Linked DNA regions of Drosophila melanogaster. The protein of the gene in region 1 purifies or fractionates together with the protein of each later gene. This does not show direct contact. Each region holds a gene or a part of one and is shown in the gene's direction. Other genes may lie near its edges.

Evidence for each region.
Region 2: the proteins of Rad60 (region 1) and SMC5 purify together in Drosophila melanogaster (affinity purification with western blotting, with the first as the bait; one study listed by BioGRID). This does not show direct contact.
Region 3: the proteins of Rad60 (region 1) and dgrn purify together in Drosophila melanogaster (affinity purification with western blotting, with the first as the bait; one study listed by BioGRID). This does not show direct contact.

The regions. Positions count from the first base shown.
Region 1 is NT_033777.3:23,248,955-23,255,177, reverse strand, and holds Rad60 (Rad60), read left to right. Parts: upstream 1-3,700; 5' UTR 3,701-3,953; coding exon 3,954-4,011; intron 4,012-4,075; coding exon 4,076-4,578; intron 4,579-4,637; coding exon 4,638-4,751; intron 4,752-4,814; coding exon 4,815-4,921; intron 4,922-4,976; coding exon 4,977-5,155; intron 5,156-5,214; coding exon 5,215-5,437; intron 5,438-5,495; coding exon 5,496-5,586; 3' UTR 5,587-5,735; downstream 5,736-6,223. Other genes in the region: EloA (elongin A), read right to left, coding at 730-809, 869-1,160, 1,226-1,425, 1,483-1,577, 1,636-1,853, 1,909-2,286, 2,342-2,929, 3,221-3,301. UniProt on the Drosophila melanogaster protein: Required for repair of DNA double strand breaks which occur during replication or are induced by ionizing radiation (IR). Functions with dgrn and downstream of the SMC5-SMC6 complex to regulate strand break repair.
Region 2 is NT_037436.4:21,566,253-21,572,475, forward strand, and holds the start of SMC5 (structural maintenance of chromosomes 5), read left to right. Parts: upstream 1-2,999; 5' UTR 3,000-3,126; coding exon 3,127-3,200; intron 3,201-3,268; coding exon 3,269-3,641; intron 3,642-3,704; coding exon 3,705-3,883; intron 3,884-4,004; coding exon 4,005-4,251; intron 4,252-4,303; coding exon 4,304-4,402; intron 4,403-4,467; coding exon 4,468-4,755; intron 4,756-4,809; coding exon 4,810-4,911; intron 4,912-4,969; coding exon 4,970-5,178; intron 5,179-5,237; coding exon 5,238-5,401; intron 5,402-5,479; coding exon 5,480-5,809; intron 5,810-5,864; coding exon 5,865-6,082; intron 6,083-6,138; coding exon 6,139-6,223. Other genes in the region: CG7634 (uncharacterized protein), read left to right, coding at 1-15, 74-189, 254-347, 410-586, 642-931, 982-1,127, 1,192-1,475; CRIF (CR6-interacting factor), read right to left, coding at 1,883-2,581.
Region 3 is NT_033777.3:5,822,472-5,828,694, forward strand, and holds dgrn (degringolade), read left to right. Parts: upstream 1-2,143; 5' UTR 2,144-2,477; coding exon 2,478-2,504; intron 2,505-2,561; exon of another isoform or gene 2,562-2,564; coding exon 2,565-2,973; intron 2,974-3,027; coding exon 3,028-3,117; intron 3,118-3,333; coding exon 3,334-3,767; 3' UTR 3,768-4,105; downstream 4,106-6,223. Other genes in the region: Sec20 (secretory 20), read right to left, coding at 1,234-1,836, 1,890-1,970.

The DNA.
Region 1 (6,223 bases):
GAGCATTCGAATCGAATTTCAATTGTTGAAGTGATTTTTTTTAATATATTAACATTTTACCCAATACCTAAAAATGTGCAAAACTAAATAAATCTAAAGGTAATATAGAATTTTTTGGTTGAATTTAATTAGCGATGCATTAAGAGACATTTTACTGTTCTTCAATAATTTAGGTAGTTTCATATAGGTTTAGGATTGTGTAAATACATTTATATACAGCTTGGAACCTCTATGATTTTGGACATACGCACAGCCCTTTTGAACAAAGAACATTGAACTTAATTTTTAAATAATGTTGGAGTGATCAGCCTTCTGATCGTAAGTTACATGCAATCAATGAATTGAACAACTATAATCAAATATCATAACTTATGTAAATGAGCTTGTCTACGACCCAGCGGGATGCAACAAAAGCTTTATCTTTATCCGGTTGGCTTAAATATAGTGACTTATACAGCGTAATAAAAGAGGGCAGAACATGAATAAATAATAAATAGCATGCATATGCTACGCATGCCGACAGCAGCAGTCTGATTCCACAGCGCACTGGGAAGTAGAAGGTCTAGTATCACAATGTCACTTTATTCAGACCTGAAAGTCTTTGCCAATAAAGTTGGAAGGTAATCCCACCGTGAATGCCTAATAGATCGAGGTTGCTGCTACTGCTGCTGCTTAAGTTGTCGCTGAAGAAGTTGAGTATAAGATTGTAGCTATAATGAGTAAGCGCATCTATCGTTTGAGACGTCCGCGCATAAACTGCAAGGTCTTCGCCATTAGAGGTGCCTTCTTCGATCGCGCTGGTCCAGCCCCTTTTCAATAAAAATTATAGGTAAATTTAATTCTTAACCACAATCATTACAATACTTACCCACTTGGGCCGTGTCCCTGGCAGCGGCCAGCACACGTAGTCGGGCATCGCCCACCTTGGCTGCATTTGGAGTCACGCTGGACAAGGCGGCCACTCGGGCGGCTGGAGTGGCAATTAGCTTGCCCTTGGTGCCATATTGCTCTTGCTTGCGCTGCACACTACGCGGCGGCTTCACCATTGAGTCCACAAAGGCCAATTGCGTCTTGCGCACAGGCGCCTCGCTTATCTTTTGCGATGCCTTGATGCTCTCGGCCAGAATGCTAAGTTTGCGATCCTTTTCCTCTTGGCAGCGCTAGAACGAAATTTTTGTGTCAGCTTAGTTTAGTTTGCATTAATTTAGGGTCTTTGCGTCCCTACCAAAAACATTTCGCGCCACGTTTCCATCTCTTCACGCCGCTGACTGCGACAGTGACGTTGGACATGCTGTTGCCATAGGACATCACTGTCATCCATTAAATAAGGATTGTACTCCTCAAAGTTAAGCAGCTGCTGGGGGGTAGCTCGCTCCAAAACGGGACGTAGGACCTCAAACGGAACGCCACCCGTATACTCCAATGCTGAAAAACAATTAAGATGGTTATTTACATTCGATATGACCATTAGTAAGATCTTACCATCAATATTCTTTTGCAGCACGCGGGTGCAGAGATCAAAAAGGGAAGGGACCTGCAGGATTTGACCAGTTCTCACACCCGAATAGATCTTGGTGCTACAAAGTATAAAAAGTTGATATACTTTGTGCATCACATTATAATATCCTAGCTCACCGCATAGTTTTGGAAGAGATGCCCTGCGCTAGAGCTTCTGACTCATTAAAGTATCGTGATGCTTGCGCCTTGTGTGAGCCACCCTGGTTAAAGACGACGTCCATAACTGTCTGATTTAATGGCATGGGCTTGTAGTTATTGGATATGGTGGGAAGTTCTAGTGCAATGTTTGGATCCAAGGGCTCCAGCTTAGCTGTGGATGCCAACAGTTCGGGTTTCTAAAGAATAAACATATGTTACCACAACTTATAAAAATGAATTTCTACTAATTACTTTGGAGGTCGGTCGACTGCTAGTTGAGAGTGCCTCTTTAGATGACCCAGCAGTCGTAGGTGCTGATAGAGCTGACGAGGAAGGGGCTGCAGTTGGCTTGGCGACAAACTTGCTCTTGCTGTTGCTGCTGCTCTTCTTGCTACTTATGGGTATGTTTAGCAGACCAAGAACATCGTCAAAATTTGCGCCCATGCTGGAGTCAAAACCATCAGCGGAATCTTCCTCAGATTTCGATTTAACTTTTGGTATCTTTGCTTTTTGGGACTCCTCCTCGTGGCGTGGGGGACTATGGGAGCGCTTTGATGACTTGGAGGACGATGATTTGTGTTTGCTCGACTTGTCTTTGACTTCCTTTAATTCACTGTGAGAAGTTTTGTCCTGAAAAAAAAATGCATAAGAACAATAACCACTTTTGATCAAGAGGAAAGCATACCTTTTCGTGCTTGCTTTTGGTGTGTTCGCTCTTGTGGCTCTCGGATTTGCTGCTCTTGTGACTGCTGCTGGATTTGCTGGAATCCTTTGACTTGTGCTCGCCATTTGACTTCTTTTCTTTGTGCTCCTTAGCTTCCTTCTGACCCTCCCGATCTTTATCTCTATCCTTGGATTTATCGTGGCGAGAGCTCTTGTGCTTCTTATCCGAGTCAGACCTACTCTTGGAGTGAGATCGGCTGCTGCTGCTACGCTCATGCTTGGTGCTCTTGGCATGCTTTGACTTGTGCTTGCTGGTGTTCAAGTCCTCGCCGCTGGATGAGTTGCCGCCCTTGTTCTCCTGGTCGGGATCCTCGTCGCTGGACTTGGTCTTGCCCGAGTCCTCTTCGTTATGTATGGCTGTAGGCGTAGATGCGATCGAAGGGTCCTCCTTCGCCACCATTGCCTTCCACTTGGTTACCAGCGTCTTGGCCGCCACGCCAACTTCCCCGCTGATCTTGCGCAGGGCATTCACCGTCTTGCCAATTCCCGTTTCCTGCAGGTGCTCGAATTTGATCGGCAGGTTGAACAGCTTGGTGATGCAGTGCAGCAGCTGCTCGACGGGAGAGCAGGTAGCGAAAGAGGTGATTAAGAAAGATTAGCAAAAGACCGTGTGAGTGAAAGGTCAGCGGAAAAGAAGAGCGACTTAAAGTCGAGAAAAGTGACCTTGGCGGAGGTACATATGTTTGCGAATTTCACAAGGTTAAGTAAGGGAAAGCCAGCCAGGTCAGGTACATAGGGGTGATTAAATGGTTAGGAAAATGGGGGACTTGAATGATAGGAAGGCAGTAAGCAGTGGATCAAAAGGGATGCGATGGCGGTGCCAATGAGGGTAATAGCTCACCCGTTGTTCGTCCTCGCCGTGCTTCTCAATGCTGCGCTGGTAGTGGCGCACCACGTCCAGCAGATTGCTGGTGGAGGCCATCGCGTCGTCTCAAAGTATTCCACGCAAAATGAAATGAAAAAAATGGCACGCAGGCAGACTTTGTCGTCTCTTCCCGTTTTCTTTTTCTCACTTTCAGTTTACTGATTTTTTTTTAGGGAATCCAGGTAAACACACACGCACCCAAGGGCAAACACACGCACACGCACAAGTGCACACACACACGCGGAAAAGCCTCTGGTCGCGAGGCTCTAAGTTATTTTCAATAGCATTACGGGCCTTTATTATAATACATTCGATTTTTGCTTTTGCCAGGCCAGCAGCGTTGGAAACTAAATGAGATTTGCTTTTGACGGCGTGGCGCTTGTCAACACTGGCCAAACAGCTGTCGGCCAGAGTTGCTCTACGTCACAGTAGGCTTGTACAAACATTTAGTGAATTCAATCGTGATAATACAAATAATTAACATGTCCAAATCATCGATACACACATTAAATAAAATCGAATTGTAAATTACATTTGACTACCAGCAAATACTTTGATCGTGGTCTCGTGTCGTGTGGCTACCCTGGTCACAGTAGTTATCGGATATCGATTTTCCTTGCAACCACTGTGGCGTCTATTTGGTTTTGTGTTTGTGTTTATTGTTTGGCGCCGTTATTGGTTTATTACTGACTGTTACTGAGTGCCCACGATGTCCGACGACGACTGCGATATATTCAGTGCTGCTCGCAAGCGGATTCCCGAAATAGGTTAGCTTTAAACTGCAGAAATCCAAGTTTTTCCACATACCTTCGCTTTTGTCGTCTTTATCAGCTTTGCCCAAGAATCCTTACAATCTTGGCAATGATTCCTTCTCCAAGGAGGTGGACTACGATTTCATTGAAGACCTCCCCAAGAAATCAACTAAAACTGGCAAACGAAAGAACCCTGCAGCGACGCGGAAAAATCCACCCAAAAGTCAGGATGATGCTTCGCCACCAAAACAGGCAGAACATAAGGCTGTGGAGCCAGAAGAGGATATGAGAACAGAGCGCTCCCTATCACCGGTATCCCTGTTGATATTGGAGATGGAAAAGAAAAATGGCCAGCAATCGGATGTGGAGAAGCACGCCAAAGAAAATGACGTTGGTCCTGTGGCCAGACGCACACGGTCATCGTTAAATAGGTCAGAAATGGCGCCACCACCTGTTTCACCGACTGTGGAGGTGCCCACACAGACGAAACCAAAGAAGCGCGGCCAAAAAAAGAGAACATCTCTAACAACCACAACCAGCAACTCTGCTTCGATGGAGGTCTCATTGCCAAGCATTGTAGGTGTATGTTTGAAATTTCGAATAGAGATCTTGGGTATTTTCTAATCTCTTCATATTTGTAGCAGAACAATGAGCACATTAGCAGACGGTGGACGTTGGCCGAAGTTGCAGCCCGTTCCAAAGTGGTGGACAGTATTGATCTGGTATCTGCGGTCGCTCCCCGAGTGGAGGGATTTGTAAGTCCCTAGAAAGAAGTTGTACTATTCAATAAGGCTAATATTATACTTATTTCTTCACAGGTTAATCTAGACTCTGAAGACGAGGGTGAAAAGGAGGCTCCTCCTGTCGTAGAGGAAGAAAATATTTTTGATAACGATAATCCCACAATAGAAGTAGCTTTGTCGTGGTAAGTTTTAATATATTTATCCTTTTTCGTGATTAATATAAATATTTTTATGCAGGCTTGGCGAGATCCAGATTTATAAATTGCGGCAGCACCAAAAGTTTAAGCATCTGTTCAAGGAGTTAGCATCACGCAATGGGATAGATGAGAATGATATAACGGTGGATATGTACTATAACTTCGTTGGACCTGAGGATACGCCGCACAGCATTGGTCTCAAATCATTTCATACGCTCAGTAGGTGTCCTCTATTCAGATATATATTATTATTTGAAAATTTCTCAACTATTTAACAGCTGGCCATCCAACAAAGAGTCACAATAATAACAACGTGGCTGCTAAAATTGACTACAATCCAGAAGCTCTTTGCCGGAAACCTAAGAAGTTTCAAGTTAAAGTACAGGCGGATAAATGGAAGCATCCTTTGGTGATACCCATGAAGAAAACTGATAATTTCAAAATCATATTTATTAAGTGTGCTGAGGAGTTGAACTGTGATCCCCGAACCATTAAATTGTTGTAAGTACTAAAAGCTGGAAAAAGTAGAGACAATCCACTGAATTTGAGGTGATTTCAGTTTTGACGGTGACTTGTTGGATCCAAATGATACGCCCAATAACCAGGATATGGAGGGCAACGAAGTTATAGATCTTAAAATAAAGGCTTAAATTTTGAGCAAATTTATCTATTCTAGCCGAAAAATATTTTTAAAAGAAATTATATTAATGTTTTGTTTACGATTAGTTAATTGCTGTGCAAGATTTATTTTATTATCAAATGTTTCTATGTATGATTGAATATTTCTAATTTTCTTTGTACTTTTATTTGTTTCATTTGGGATGATTTAAGGAATATATTATTTGTTTTTCTACATTGCAGTCACAAAATTCCATTACATTGCGTACAAAAACAACAAAAGCGTATTCGCACTTCGACTAGATTTCAGCAATTTGTCACCAAGTGGAGCAGCGGGCAACTTCCAAAAAACCCTCAAGCATTCATTATACACCCCTAATATTTTGTTTATCTAGCATATAGCGCACTCACACAGAGCTGGAAACAGATCCCAAATGGTTGTTTATATTGGCAGGAGGAGAGCGGATGCTGCTGAGGGGGATGGTTTGTGGTGGGTTCAGTAGTTGCCTCCTTCCACCGGCTTTGCTCTCTCTCTCTCTCGCTCTCTCGTTGCTCTCTGTTCCTTATTCTTGTGCGGCTTTCCTTGGAATTTCACTGCACAAATTCTGACACACGCAGGATAATAATCTCTCTCAACTGAGAGCAACTGAGAGAGGAAAGCTCTAATGG
Region 2 (6,223 bases), on another chromosome or scaffold:
ATTCCCGAAATCGAAGTGGGTATTATTGGCAAATTTGCAAAATTACCCTTACTGTTATAGGCCGTCTTACTAGGAAGAAATGCTTTCCCCCCTTGAAATTGCGAGGCGAAGTCGTGCTTTCGACGTGTTTAACCAGATGTTCATAGATAGGTCTTGGCATGATGTCATATTTCTCAAGCACGTTCGAAAGTAAAACCATTTGTGAAACTATAAAACATTGATTATAGCATATGTACCTACATTTTTGCCTTAGAAATCCAAACCTTCTCTTGAATCAGTGTAAGAACTCCACTGAGTACTTACAAACGCTTTCTACAAAGAAATATGACGAGATCAAAAGCTTTCTGGTGAGTTTGAGTGGTGAACCCGAATTATGAGTACCCAAATTGTCCCTAATTGTTTATTTCAGAAAATTCTGGAAGCCCGTAGCCCCATGTACAATATCCGATACCAAAAGTTCACAAACAAGAAGTTGATGGATAAGTTTCGCCAGGAATATCTTTTTCGAGTTCAGTACCAAACAAGACGAAACATGATTTCCGCACTGCGTAGTATTCGGTACCTTCGAAAAACCAAGAGTCTAACAGTAAGAATTTTGAATGAATTCGAACAGAGATTGGTTAAATGATTAATGGTTTTAGAAACTCACCAGTTACGTGGAGGAAGTTATGGGAGATTACGTGGTGAAAAAAACCAACAGGATTATGCCCTGGAAATTCGAATTCATCAACGAGGTGTACAATATTTTGGCGCTTGCCTACGTAGATCAGTACACGCTTCCGAAGAACTTTCGCTTTTCGGAGAAGAACGCACTGCTTCGATTGCTTCGCTTTCCTATGGACAAGTCAAAGGAAGTGAAACACTTCGTATTTGGGGATCGAACTACGCACCAAGGCTCGGAAACAGTAGATCCGGCCTTGACAAAATCACGGTAACTCGCAGTCGAGATAAAAATTCTATTTTAATTTATTTTGTTTTCAGTCTAATGGGAAACCGACTCGAGAACCGTATGAATTTCGCAAAGTACCCTATAGAGAAGTCCTACCTACTTCACCAAATGGCAGAGATTCATCTTAAATCACACAGGTTTGACGAATGCTGTTTTAGTGCCCGAAAGTCTATTGAAGGTTTGGTCCATTAGTGCTATACTATTAAACGGTTATGGAAATACCTATATATCTATCTTTTTAGAGGCAAAAAAATGCAATAGCTACATTTGGCAGTTTCTGTGCTACCTACTGATAATAAAGGCGAATGCTGCACTCCACAAAGTCGAGCGAACCAGTGAAGCTCTAGATCTGGCACTAAAAATTTCCAAGGAATTGAAAGAAAAGCATATTCATAACTTCTTGACTGCCTGTATACACTGTAATGAGGAGGAATTCATCGTGAAGAAGCAGAGCATTTTTGCGAATAGCCGGCGCGAAAGCGAAAAATCGGTGTATAGTTCCCTGTCCGTGCGCCATAGCAATTAGAGCTTTGTATTATTTGTATAACCAAAAATATTGATTAATAAATTCTCAGTGCAATTATAATAGTGTAGTGACCTATTAGATACCTATACTCAAGTACCCCTGCGTATTTGGAATTTGCATTCTTATTATCAACTTGCAAGCTCCTTCATGGCTAGATCGACTCGGCTACTGATCCTCTTTTAAAAATAATGCTTGTGTAACGTATATATTACACAAACATCGGGCTTACTTTTCACTAGTCTAAGCAAATTCTTGTCTTAATTTATAAAAATATAAAATATTTTGCAACACTTTAAAATATTTTATGGGAGTACAGATAATAAGTGCTCTTCTTTTTGCAGTGTTTTTATTTTAGTGTAACATACAACAGTTCTTCGCTTAAATCGATGGTTTTGATACTACAAATATTACACTGATGCTTTCTCTACCAGCTTGGCCATCATCTTCTCCTCCTTGGCCTTTCGCTTGGCCTCCTTCTGCTTCTTCTTGTCCTCCTTCTCTTTTTGCTCTAGCATTTCCTTAAAGCGTTCGTCGCGTGTATCCACCTTGAACCCGAAGTGTCGGCGCACCTCCTCTACCAGGCGTTCCTTGCGTTGTATGGCTGCCGCTGCATCCGCCTCCCGCTTAGCGATCTTCGCGTGCAGGTCCGCCTTCCACTGTGTCAACTTCTCCATCTTCTTCGCAATGTCCTCTTCACGGGCATTTATCCTTGCCAGCTCCTCTGCCTTCTGCGCGCGGTTCTTCTCCAGCATTTTCAGGAGTGTTTCTAGTTGCATAACCTGCCTGCTGTCTTTCTCTCCGTGGGAATCGAAGCAAATCTTGGGATTCACATTGCTCTGGGCCCCATACCGGCCGAATGCCTGTCTCTGGTACTTCTCGGTCAAATGAATCCAGGAGTGAGGTTCCTGGTATGGCAATTTGTTAAGGAGCACATTTTTGTGTTGTGGTTGCAGGCCGGATCTGTCCACCGTCTGGGGATATGTTGGTTCCACATCCACGTCGCCGACCAAGGAAGCCGGCAGTTCCGCTTTCGCAGCGCTCGAGTACTGGGCGCACGAGCGGAGGGCAGGAAGTCTGGTGACAACGCTTATCTTGCCTACATTCATTTTGAATTGTATTGTCTAAGCAAAATAGTTTATTAATTTCCAATAGAGATGAGAGAAAATCGATAGCGATGACACCAATGCTGGCAACTAAACCCTTTTGGAGCTAAATTCAGATATTTTTTAGGCCCCGTCAGAAAGATAAGTAATAGATATTAATTGTTGTGACAGTCTGGCTGCATCCCAGCTCAAGCTCTATATATTTCTTTTTTCCTTGCTATTTATTTCTATCAATTTGTAATTATCGTTTCCACGATTTGTTACTGACATTTTACTTGTCAGTTTTTATTCCGAAAATAGATTTCTGAGGCTTAAAATTATCATTTTTATGTTGTCAGCTCAAAATATAAAAGAAACATAAATTGATTATACATACGGGCGGCGCACAAGTGTACCCTTAATATACCAATCGTTATCGACAACAATGGTACGTGCACATATGCCCTAATGCAAAACTAAATTCTTGAAAGCGCGGAATTGCATTTAAAACAACTCGTTTTACTTAAGTTGAAATAAGCATTTGCTCGGATAAAAGCCTACGCCACGACATGGCGGGGGATCGTGCCTTAAGTTCCAAGCAATTGGCGGGGCGCATACATTCCGTGTACTGCAAAGATTTCGTGTAGGTTTATTTCCATCAAAGGCGCAAATTGACAATTTCGCGGCTCATTTGATTATTTCCAACAACAGATCCTACAGCGAGATCACATTCCATCCGAAGCACTACCTGAACGTTCTGACCGGTCCCAATGGCAGTGGCAAGTCCACCATCGTGTCGGCCATAATTTTGGGCCTCGGAGGGGAACCGATTCTCCTTGATCGCTCCGCCAGCGTTGCCGACTACATACAGAGCAACAAAACCTCGGCCACCATAATTGTCCGGGTGTATGGACGCACGCCCAACACCACGGAAACCTTTCGGCGCATAATAAACTCTAATGGCTTGTCTACCTTCTCTGTGAACGACAAAGACACCTCCAAGAAGAACTTTTTGGCTGCTGTATCCTCCTTTAACATACAAGTCAGCAATTTGTGTCAGTTCCTCCCGCAGGATCGGGTTCAGGTATGTCGTTATGTTGGCAATTCATAAATTACACACCTATTTATTGTAAACATACTGTTTCAGGACTTCTCCAAGATGAATCCTCAAGAGCTTTTGCTCAACACAATGTCCTCCGTGTGTGACGAAGACCTGATCAACAGCTTCAACAGTCTAAAGCAAATGCGCACAGAACAGGCGAATGTCCATGCTAATCGGGAAAAAGAGAAAAGTGATCTGGTTAAGAAGCAAAAACGATTGGAACAGTAAGATATAGTTACCCGAGCTTATTTTTATTCACTAAGTAAAATGTAACCAAATGTGTGGATGAAGTACAAAATTTTAATTCTTACTAAAAACCTAATTGTCTTAATATCATTTTATTAGCTTACAAATGACTGTGTCCCAATATAAAGAACGCGAAGAGGTCAAGCAAAAGCTGCAGGTGTACAGTGCGAAGAAATTGTGGGTTGAGACTCAGGCTGGAGAAGCCAAGGCCGCAGAAATGAAAACTCAAGTGAAAAACGCAAAAACTCAGAGCGACAAATTGAAGAACCAACATGACAAACTTCTTCAATCCCAAGAACAAATTGAGAAGGAAAAAGAATCACTCAGAAAGGCCTTATTGGAAAAGGTAATGGGTGGCAGTGTTTTTTAATATATTTTTTAAAAATAAGTTTTTTTAGACACGCTTATTAGAAAACGCTGTAGCGGAGAAGGCGGCTATTGATGGTAAAATGGACTCTTTGAAGCAAGGAATTTACCAAAAAAAATATGAACTGGAGGTTGGTGTTCTTGTTGCATATATCGATCATGTGAATAACTCTTAATCTTACATTCTGTCACATAGCAAAACATTAAAAAATCACGAAGAACGGCCACAGAGTGTGATAACCTAAATCAGTTGGTGGAGAATAAAATTTACGAGCTTGAAACCCTAAATAAGAGCAGGCCTCTGATCGTTTCGGAACTTGAAAGGGCTAAGGAATCGTGCGCAGCTGCCCGCGGGAAAGCAATGGAGCAGTACAGCAGACGGAGACAACTGGAACAAAAACTGAATGATGAAATGATTCCTGAAATTACTGCGTATAAACTTAAAATAGAGCGGTTGAGAAACGTCAAAATGCAAAAGATTGATGTAAGTTCTTACTGAAATAATGAAAACTCAACTTAACGCTACCTTTCATTTTAGGAAATTAGAGCAAAAAATCCGAATTTGGTTGTGGCCATGAACTGGTTGGCGCAAAATAAGCAAAGGTACAAATTGAACGTTTATGACCCAATGATACTTGAGGTGAGCTTTTCAAAATGAAGCCATTACCAATGGCCTAATGTTAAAACCGCTATCATAGCTTACAGTACAAAATCATGAGGACGCAAAGTTTTTGGAAAACGTTGTGGCGCAGCGCGATTTATTTGCATTTGCGTGTGAGGACAAGGGGGATATGTCGGACCTGATCAACGAGTTGTGTGTGAAGCAAAAATTGGGAGTTAACGTTATTTACTGCGCACCATCCGATAGACTCGTGTACAGTCCCAAAACTCCCATCGATGATCTGCGGTATGCACTTGTCAATTGTCCAATACTAGTCCAATACCTAGTTTTAAATACTTTTACAGCTCTTTCGGATTTCGGTCATACCTCGTGGATCTTGTCACGGGACCAATACCACTAATAAACAAGCTGTGCGCTTCCTATTCCATTCATAATATACCAATTGGCACAGAAGCTGTGGGCAATTACACTTCATCCATTCCAAAAGCTATCCGAGTTTATTTCGGCGGTGTGTATATTTTTCTTATTCGGTTTCGCTTCGCAAATGTATAAATTCTGATTTTGAATTCCGTACTGTGCATTTTAGGCAGCAAGAAGTTCGTTGTGACCGCATCCCGCTATCGGTCGGATACTATTCTAACTGAAAGTAGCATTCGAGCGAAGAACCAACTTATTACAGTGGACTCACAACAACTGGCCCTGGTGATGAAACAGTGCTCCGAAGCAGTGAAGGAAAGCGACAGCATTAAAAACGCAATAACCCAGACCGACAATGAATTTGAACGATTGCAAGCTGTTGCAAAGGATGAGCAAGAGAAGAGACGAAAGCTTGACCAAAAAATAGCCCATTTTAATAGCCTGAAAACCGAAATTGAAACGCTCCAAAAGAAGCTGGAAGCCCTGCGCAATAGCGATTGTAAGTATTTCTTAGTGCACTAAATATTCAGCCATTATGAACCGTGTTTTTTCAGCGCTAGACTGTCTTGAAACCAATTTTTGTAACAGTTTGCATAAAGACTTAAAAAAAATATTCGATGCTGATGCGGAATTGTGCTCGTGCTTGAAAGCTATTGACCGACTTATAATTGAAAAGAATATGGCCCAGACAAAGGTATCCATTTATATGCTGCAACATGAGACTCAAATTGAAGCCCTCAAGGAAAGCGAGGAACAGAGTAAAGCAGCAACCGTAAGGAAATCGAAATGCACTTAAGGAATTTATTTATAGGAATGTTTTGCTTGCAGAGAGACTTCCAACAGTTGCTGCAGTGCTTAGAAAATCAAATTAGCGACGTTAACAAACGAAAGAGCGCTATTCAGGGCCTTTGCC
Region 3 (6,223 bases), about 17 Mb from region 1:
CATTGGTTTGGCACTATGCAGCCACTTTTTTGGTGACGGCCAAAATTACTCTCTTTCCGCTCACTCCCGCTTAGAGCGTAAGAAATCTAAAAATATAATTTGCTTGCTTGTGTGAGTAAAAACAAGAGACGAGAACGCGTATAAGTGTGCGTGTTGTGCTAGAAGACGATTTTCGGGCCGAAATCAATTCTGATCGAAGAAACGAATTTACATGGTACATATTAGGGTAGTTTTTGCCAATTTCCTAGCAATATGATAAAATAAAAAATTTTTAAAAATTCGCGCCCTGGCTATTATAATTTTAAAGCTTTTTTAAATTTCTTTGTTAAAATCGCCGCTCGAATTAGCTACCGTTTACACATTTGTATTTATGTTTAATTCTAATTTGTCTCTCATCTGACAATTTTTTAAAACCGAAATATTTTTTTTGAAACACTTTTAATGTTAATGTTACATCATATTAAGTCAAATGATTTAATAAATATACTAAATAATTAAATATGCAATTAAATTAAATTGCAAAAGTAATATCAAAGACAATAGAATTATTCTAGTGTCTTTGCTTTGTTCATATCTTGAGGCACGAAGTGCGGACACAAGCACTCAACAATCATTGCCTTATTAATTTTTCACACGCCGCAAGATGAATACTCTAATGACAAATATTCTTATATAAATTCATTTTTGAAATTTATTTTTGTGATAATATGTACATAGATTTGACTATTTCTAATCTATTTTCAAATAATAATAACGTTAAGGCAATGCAAAACAAGAATTTTTCGCATGGTGCCAATTGATAAAAAATAATATAGATTTAAAGCCAAAGAACTTCTAAGGTGAAGGGCATATTTTGTCAAATTTACAATGCATGTGAATACGTGTGCACACATACAGATGTCTGCTATCACTTTGTGCGTTGAAAAGAGCTGTTCGCTGTAGCGCTCTTCGCTCTCTCGCTCTCTAACAAAAATTCGAGAGAGCCTGGAGCCACCTCTAGAGCCACGGCCAAAAAATCGTGTGCCAAAAAATCGTATGGCGTTACGCATCTTGTTATTCTAGGGTCTTTGGCTGTACCACGTTTACAACTTAGGCAAATCACTAAATAATATAAATATAGGAGCTGTGCTTACAAGGTATGGTCATGTGCTAAGCTTAATCTAGCTATACCTAGACAACAGAAGCGACAACCTTAAGCTATTTTGGGAACGGGTTTTGTCCATTTGTGGAGTCTTAGAAGAGTCGCTTTTGGACGATGTAAAAGACACAGGCGAGGAACAAGGAGAAGGCGAAGAAGAGCAGCATTTTGTCAGTGCACTCGCGTCGTCCGTACTTTTTGAGCAGCTTGCCGGACATGCTAATGCTGCCGGCCGTGTGGTGCAGTTCGTCGCTGGTGGCCTCCACATTTTGCGACGAGGCCACGAGCGTTTCCAGGGTGATGGCGCTCTTCTGGGTGGTCTCCGAGAGGTGCCGCGATATAGCCAGCATCTTCTCGGTCACGTCGTTCTCCTGCGAAACCAGACTGCCCTGGTTGTGCCGCGCCCGTGTTGTGGTTCGTTGGCGTAGCTCACTCTCGCCGGTAATGGCCATTAACTCCTCCCGATTGGCCTTCTCGATCTCCAGCATCGTGGACACGTTTGCTTTTCGGAACGCCTGCAGCGTTTTGGAGAACTGATCACGGTGGTCGTCCACTTCATTGGCCAGCGCAGAGTCTGCCGTGTCCCGCGCCCAGTCGTCCAGCCGCTCGATGCTTTTGCGGATAGCAGACAGTTTGGAGCGGCCCGCTTCGTTCAGCTCCTCGAGTTCGGCGATGGAGGTGCGGCTGTTCAGGATGTCCTAAAAACAGAAGCTCGGTAATGAGGGTTTCTCTTCAGATAGCGGAGACTTACGTGTATTATTGCCTTAGCCTGCAGATTGTTATCGATAAGGTCCTGCCGTATGGCCTGTAATGTAAACGCATCCTTGTCCATGTCTCCAACTTTGTTTTGTTTCGAAAATATTCTATTATTCTGCTTTGGTGACGTGCATTTAACGTTAATTCCCGCAATTTTCTAACACTACCACGGCACGGTATATATCGATGGCATTTAATCGCCTAAAAAATATCGTTTACATAGTGATGGTATGGTTTTGTAATGTCGACATATTTATATACATTTCTTATAATTATTTTGTTATCAAAGAATTTCGCCGAAACGGAAATTTTATTTTTAATAAATTATTGATTTTTATTGAATTACAAGTGTCATTCTAAACAGCATTGTATAATACCGCAAAAATCGATAGTCGATCTTAAATCCTTGTTCCCGAATGTCCGTAAAGTGTCATCTTTAAAATAACCGAATGGTCGCGTGAAAGGAGGAAACTATTTTGCACATTTCAATCTGCACTAAAGCACATGTATATCTGGGTTCACCTGCTTTTGTCTTTACTACGAAATCATTTCACAAGTTTCCTGGTCATTTGTTGCTCGAACAATGTCAGATTCGACTATTTTCCGTTTTGTAAGTATACCCTGGACTTTAAACTAGTTAATTCCGATTTATGATTGATTTATTTAGTAGAACTCATCCATTCTTGATCAGTCAGCGGACAGCAACGTATCCAGTTCGAGCTCCAATTCCAGTGTATCCGACTCTTCTGTGGACTCCCATTCATCCATAGAATCCAATTCGGGACACAATACATCCGTGGAATCTCAGTCATCCGCGGAATCTGATTCATCCGCTGATTCCCATTCGTCCTTGGAACGCCCATCCCCAGTGGAGCGTGATTTATCTGTGGAATCAGACTCATCTTCAGCCACCAATACCAGCGAATCTTCAGTCGGAGAAGCTTCAAACCAACTGCAGTCACCGCAAAGCAATAACCCCTTAAATATGGCTAACTTGTCTGTCTCGACTGAAGATGCTCATTCGCAGATCAGATCACTTACCCAGGATGTGATCCAGATGGAAGCAGAGTTGGATCGCAGTATGTCACTCCATAATCATTACGAAGTTTTCTGTTAATTGTTTCATATTTCAGTGAATCGCTACTGCGAGGAAGTTGTGGCACAGATTGACACCTTCGCCACGAGAACCTCAACGCCAACAACTCGTAGAATTCGCCGCAGAAGTAAGTGCAGATCAAAATGAACGCATCTGGGTTTCACAATGAACAATGTTTTTAATTCCACAATAACCAATGACATAGTTCTTTCTATAACCCTGCCGGGTTACTTACTTTTGAAGGCAAAATTTATCTATATTTTTTAAAATTTTGTGAAAACCAGATAGCTTTCGCGGATAGAGCTAGCAATAAACCGAATACCGTTTCTTACTTTTTCCGTAGCGAGTCCAGTAGAAGTGATAGATCTGTCCCATTTGGACCGTGCACCACCTGTTCGATCCGCTCGGAATCGTGATCCCGATGCTTTCATCGATCTATGCACCCCCGAAGGCCCAAGAAGTCGCACAGTGAATCTTCACTCCAACGACTCCCTCACCATTCTGCCACGTCGGTCAGCCGAAAATGACCCGGTAGTGGATCTCGACGTTGCGTCGCCACCAAAACGCGTTAATCGCGACATTGATGAGTCCCAAAAAGAGGAGTTATACAAGTGCCCCATCTGCATGGACAGTGTATCGAAGCGCGAGCCAGTGTCAACCAAATGTGGACACGTCTTCTGCCGCGAATGCATCGAAACAGCCATCAGAGCTACGCACAAGTGCCCAATATGCAACAAGAAGCTGACCGCACGTCAATTCTTTCGCATTTACTTGTAAGTTGCTTATACTATTTCACATTTTTTGCTCTGTGAGCCTTAATATAATATAGTTTAAAAAAAAACGCTTAACTATGTTAGAGACGGCAAATAATGTCTGTTCTTGTGATTCAGAAAAAATTAGTTATTTAAGTTGTCCTATGTAATCAGTGGCGCCCAAAAATATTTGAATACAACTATAAAAACTAAAGACTTCACTTTTGATGTATGAAACCATCTCAGGCTAGAATAATATAAGAACGACCGAAAGGAGTGTCAAAGTATTATGTAGGCATTTTTCCAAACGCAATTTAACAATGTAACATACATATAATATAATAAATAAAATGGTCCCAACGCATATCAACAGGTTTGTCTCAATCTCATTTTTTATTGTTGGCTACTATTTTTTGAGACAGAAGTCAGACATGGAATTCTGAGATCATTAAAGGGTCGATAAAACAGGATAAATTGGAAACAGGTGGAACATGAAGTGTCTTTAAAGAGACTTTTTCCCTCCAATTTTGTATATATATAACAATATATTTTTTTTTTTTTAAACTTCATTCTATTTATTTTGGTTCCAAAAGGAATCGTTCGGTCAATTCCTCTGAACTTAACCTTATGTGTGTATAAAGGTATATTAGACCAAGTGGTTTCTTAATTATTAAGTACAAAAGGGAAAATGTATCTAGTTATTAATTACTTATTGTGTAAGGGTGTAGGGAGATCGGTGGGGTGTACCCTCTTCAGCCTTCGGAGGGAGATGGGATTAGATAGGCTATTTGCTAGTCGGTTCGGGTGGACCATAAGCCTGTCGGCATAACGGCTGCTGTGAAAATTAATCTGATCCCCAAGAGGGGTAACTTTCAGATCTCTTTCGATTACCTTGTTTGTCACGTACCAGGGGAGCCCAAAAGCACGACGTGCAGCTCTCGACTAGACGACACGGAGCCTATTGAGCTGGGATTTGGCGGCAGTTCCCCACACCTGGATGGCATAACTCCACGTTGGAGCAAGTATGGCTTTGATTAAAAGAGCCTTAGAGCTCACTTGTAGTTTGCTGGAGTGGAAGAGCCAGTCGAGCTTTTTTAGCTTCGCCAGTGACTAAAATTTGACCGACGTGATGTGGGCCCTCCAGGTCAGTCTCCGATCTAGATGAACTCCTAGGTAGTGCGATGTGACATTGATGATGGAGTTTCCATCAAAAAGTTCCGGGCCACAGGGTAAAAGTTCGCAGGCTGACTTCGAGGAGTTAATGGCCACATTCCATTTGGCAGTCCATTTTTCGACTACATACAGCCATTCCTGGACTGCGTTGGAGGCAGTTTACAGTACAGGATGAGACGCCAGCATGGCGGTGTCATCGTGGCCAGGAGCAGCTGATCCGGGGAGACTTCGGTGTTGTTGGCGGGAGATGGCAGGTCGGCAGTGTACAGGGTGTACAGGAAGGGCCCAAGAACACTTCCCTGTGGAACTCCTGCGTGAATCTCTTCCAGGCTGGACCGAGCATCACGCACTGCAAGGTCGAAGGTCCGATGAGAGATGAACGATCTCAGGATGGCATAGTAGGGAGCAGGAAGGAGAGCTTTCATCTTGTATAGAAGTCCTTCATGCCACACCCTGTCAAACGCTTGCTTCACGTCTAGAAAGACGCCGACCGTGTAGAGTTTGTGCTCGAAGCCATGCGTCACCTGGTTTAACAGTCGATGTATTTGTTCAGGGCAGCCGTGGAACTTCCTGAAGCCAAATTGGTGTCGAGGTATGTGGTTCACTACTTGCGGCAGTTCCATCAGGCGGGCTAAGAGTATTCTCTCAAAAATCGTGGAGAAAGTTTATAGCAAGCTGACTTGGCGATATGCATCGATCTTCGTTGGCGGCTTTCCGGCTTTAGGTATCATTATGATACGTGCACGCTTCCATTACCTTGGAAAGTGCCCTAGCCTTAGGATGACATTAAATATTTTTACTAAGGCTAGAGCTCCTTTGCGTGGCAGAGACTTCGCAGCACGGTTGTCGATGCCATCCTAACCAGGGGTTTTCTCGATTTCTTGATTTGTAGCGCCTTCAGCTGCATCATGACTTCCGGCGGTGGGGTATGCCTAATGGGGCGAGCCGGTGCAGTCGGAGTGTCCAGAAAATTATTGATGGCTACGCGGTTTGAGTCGTCTGTTAGGTTGAAGGGCATGAAGGTGGAGGTCAGGTGCGAAGCAAATGTCCTCGCTTATTCATCGTCCGTCTTAAGCCAGAGGCCACTGTGACTCTGGACGGGAGATTGAAACAACGGCTGTCTCTTGATACCTCTTGTGAGCCTCCATAATGAAAAATTGCTGTTGTTATCTGGGCCAGTACCCTCCAGCAGGGTATCCAGATTTTCTCGTCGTGTCCTGGCTAGCAAACGCTGCAGTTTGTTAGTGGTGCTAGAGTATAGCTGCTTAATGCTAGGATCTCCTGTTGCGATGTACCGTCTCCTGAGGC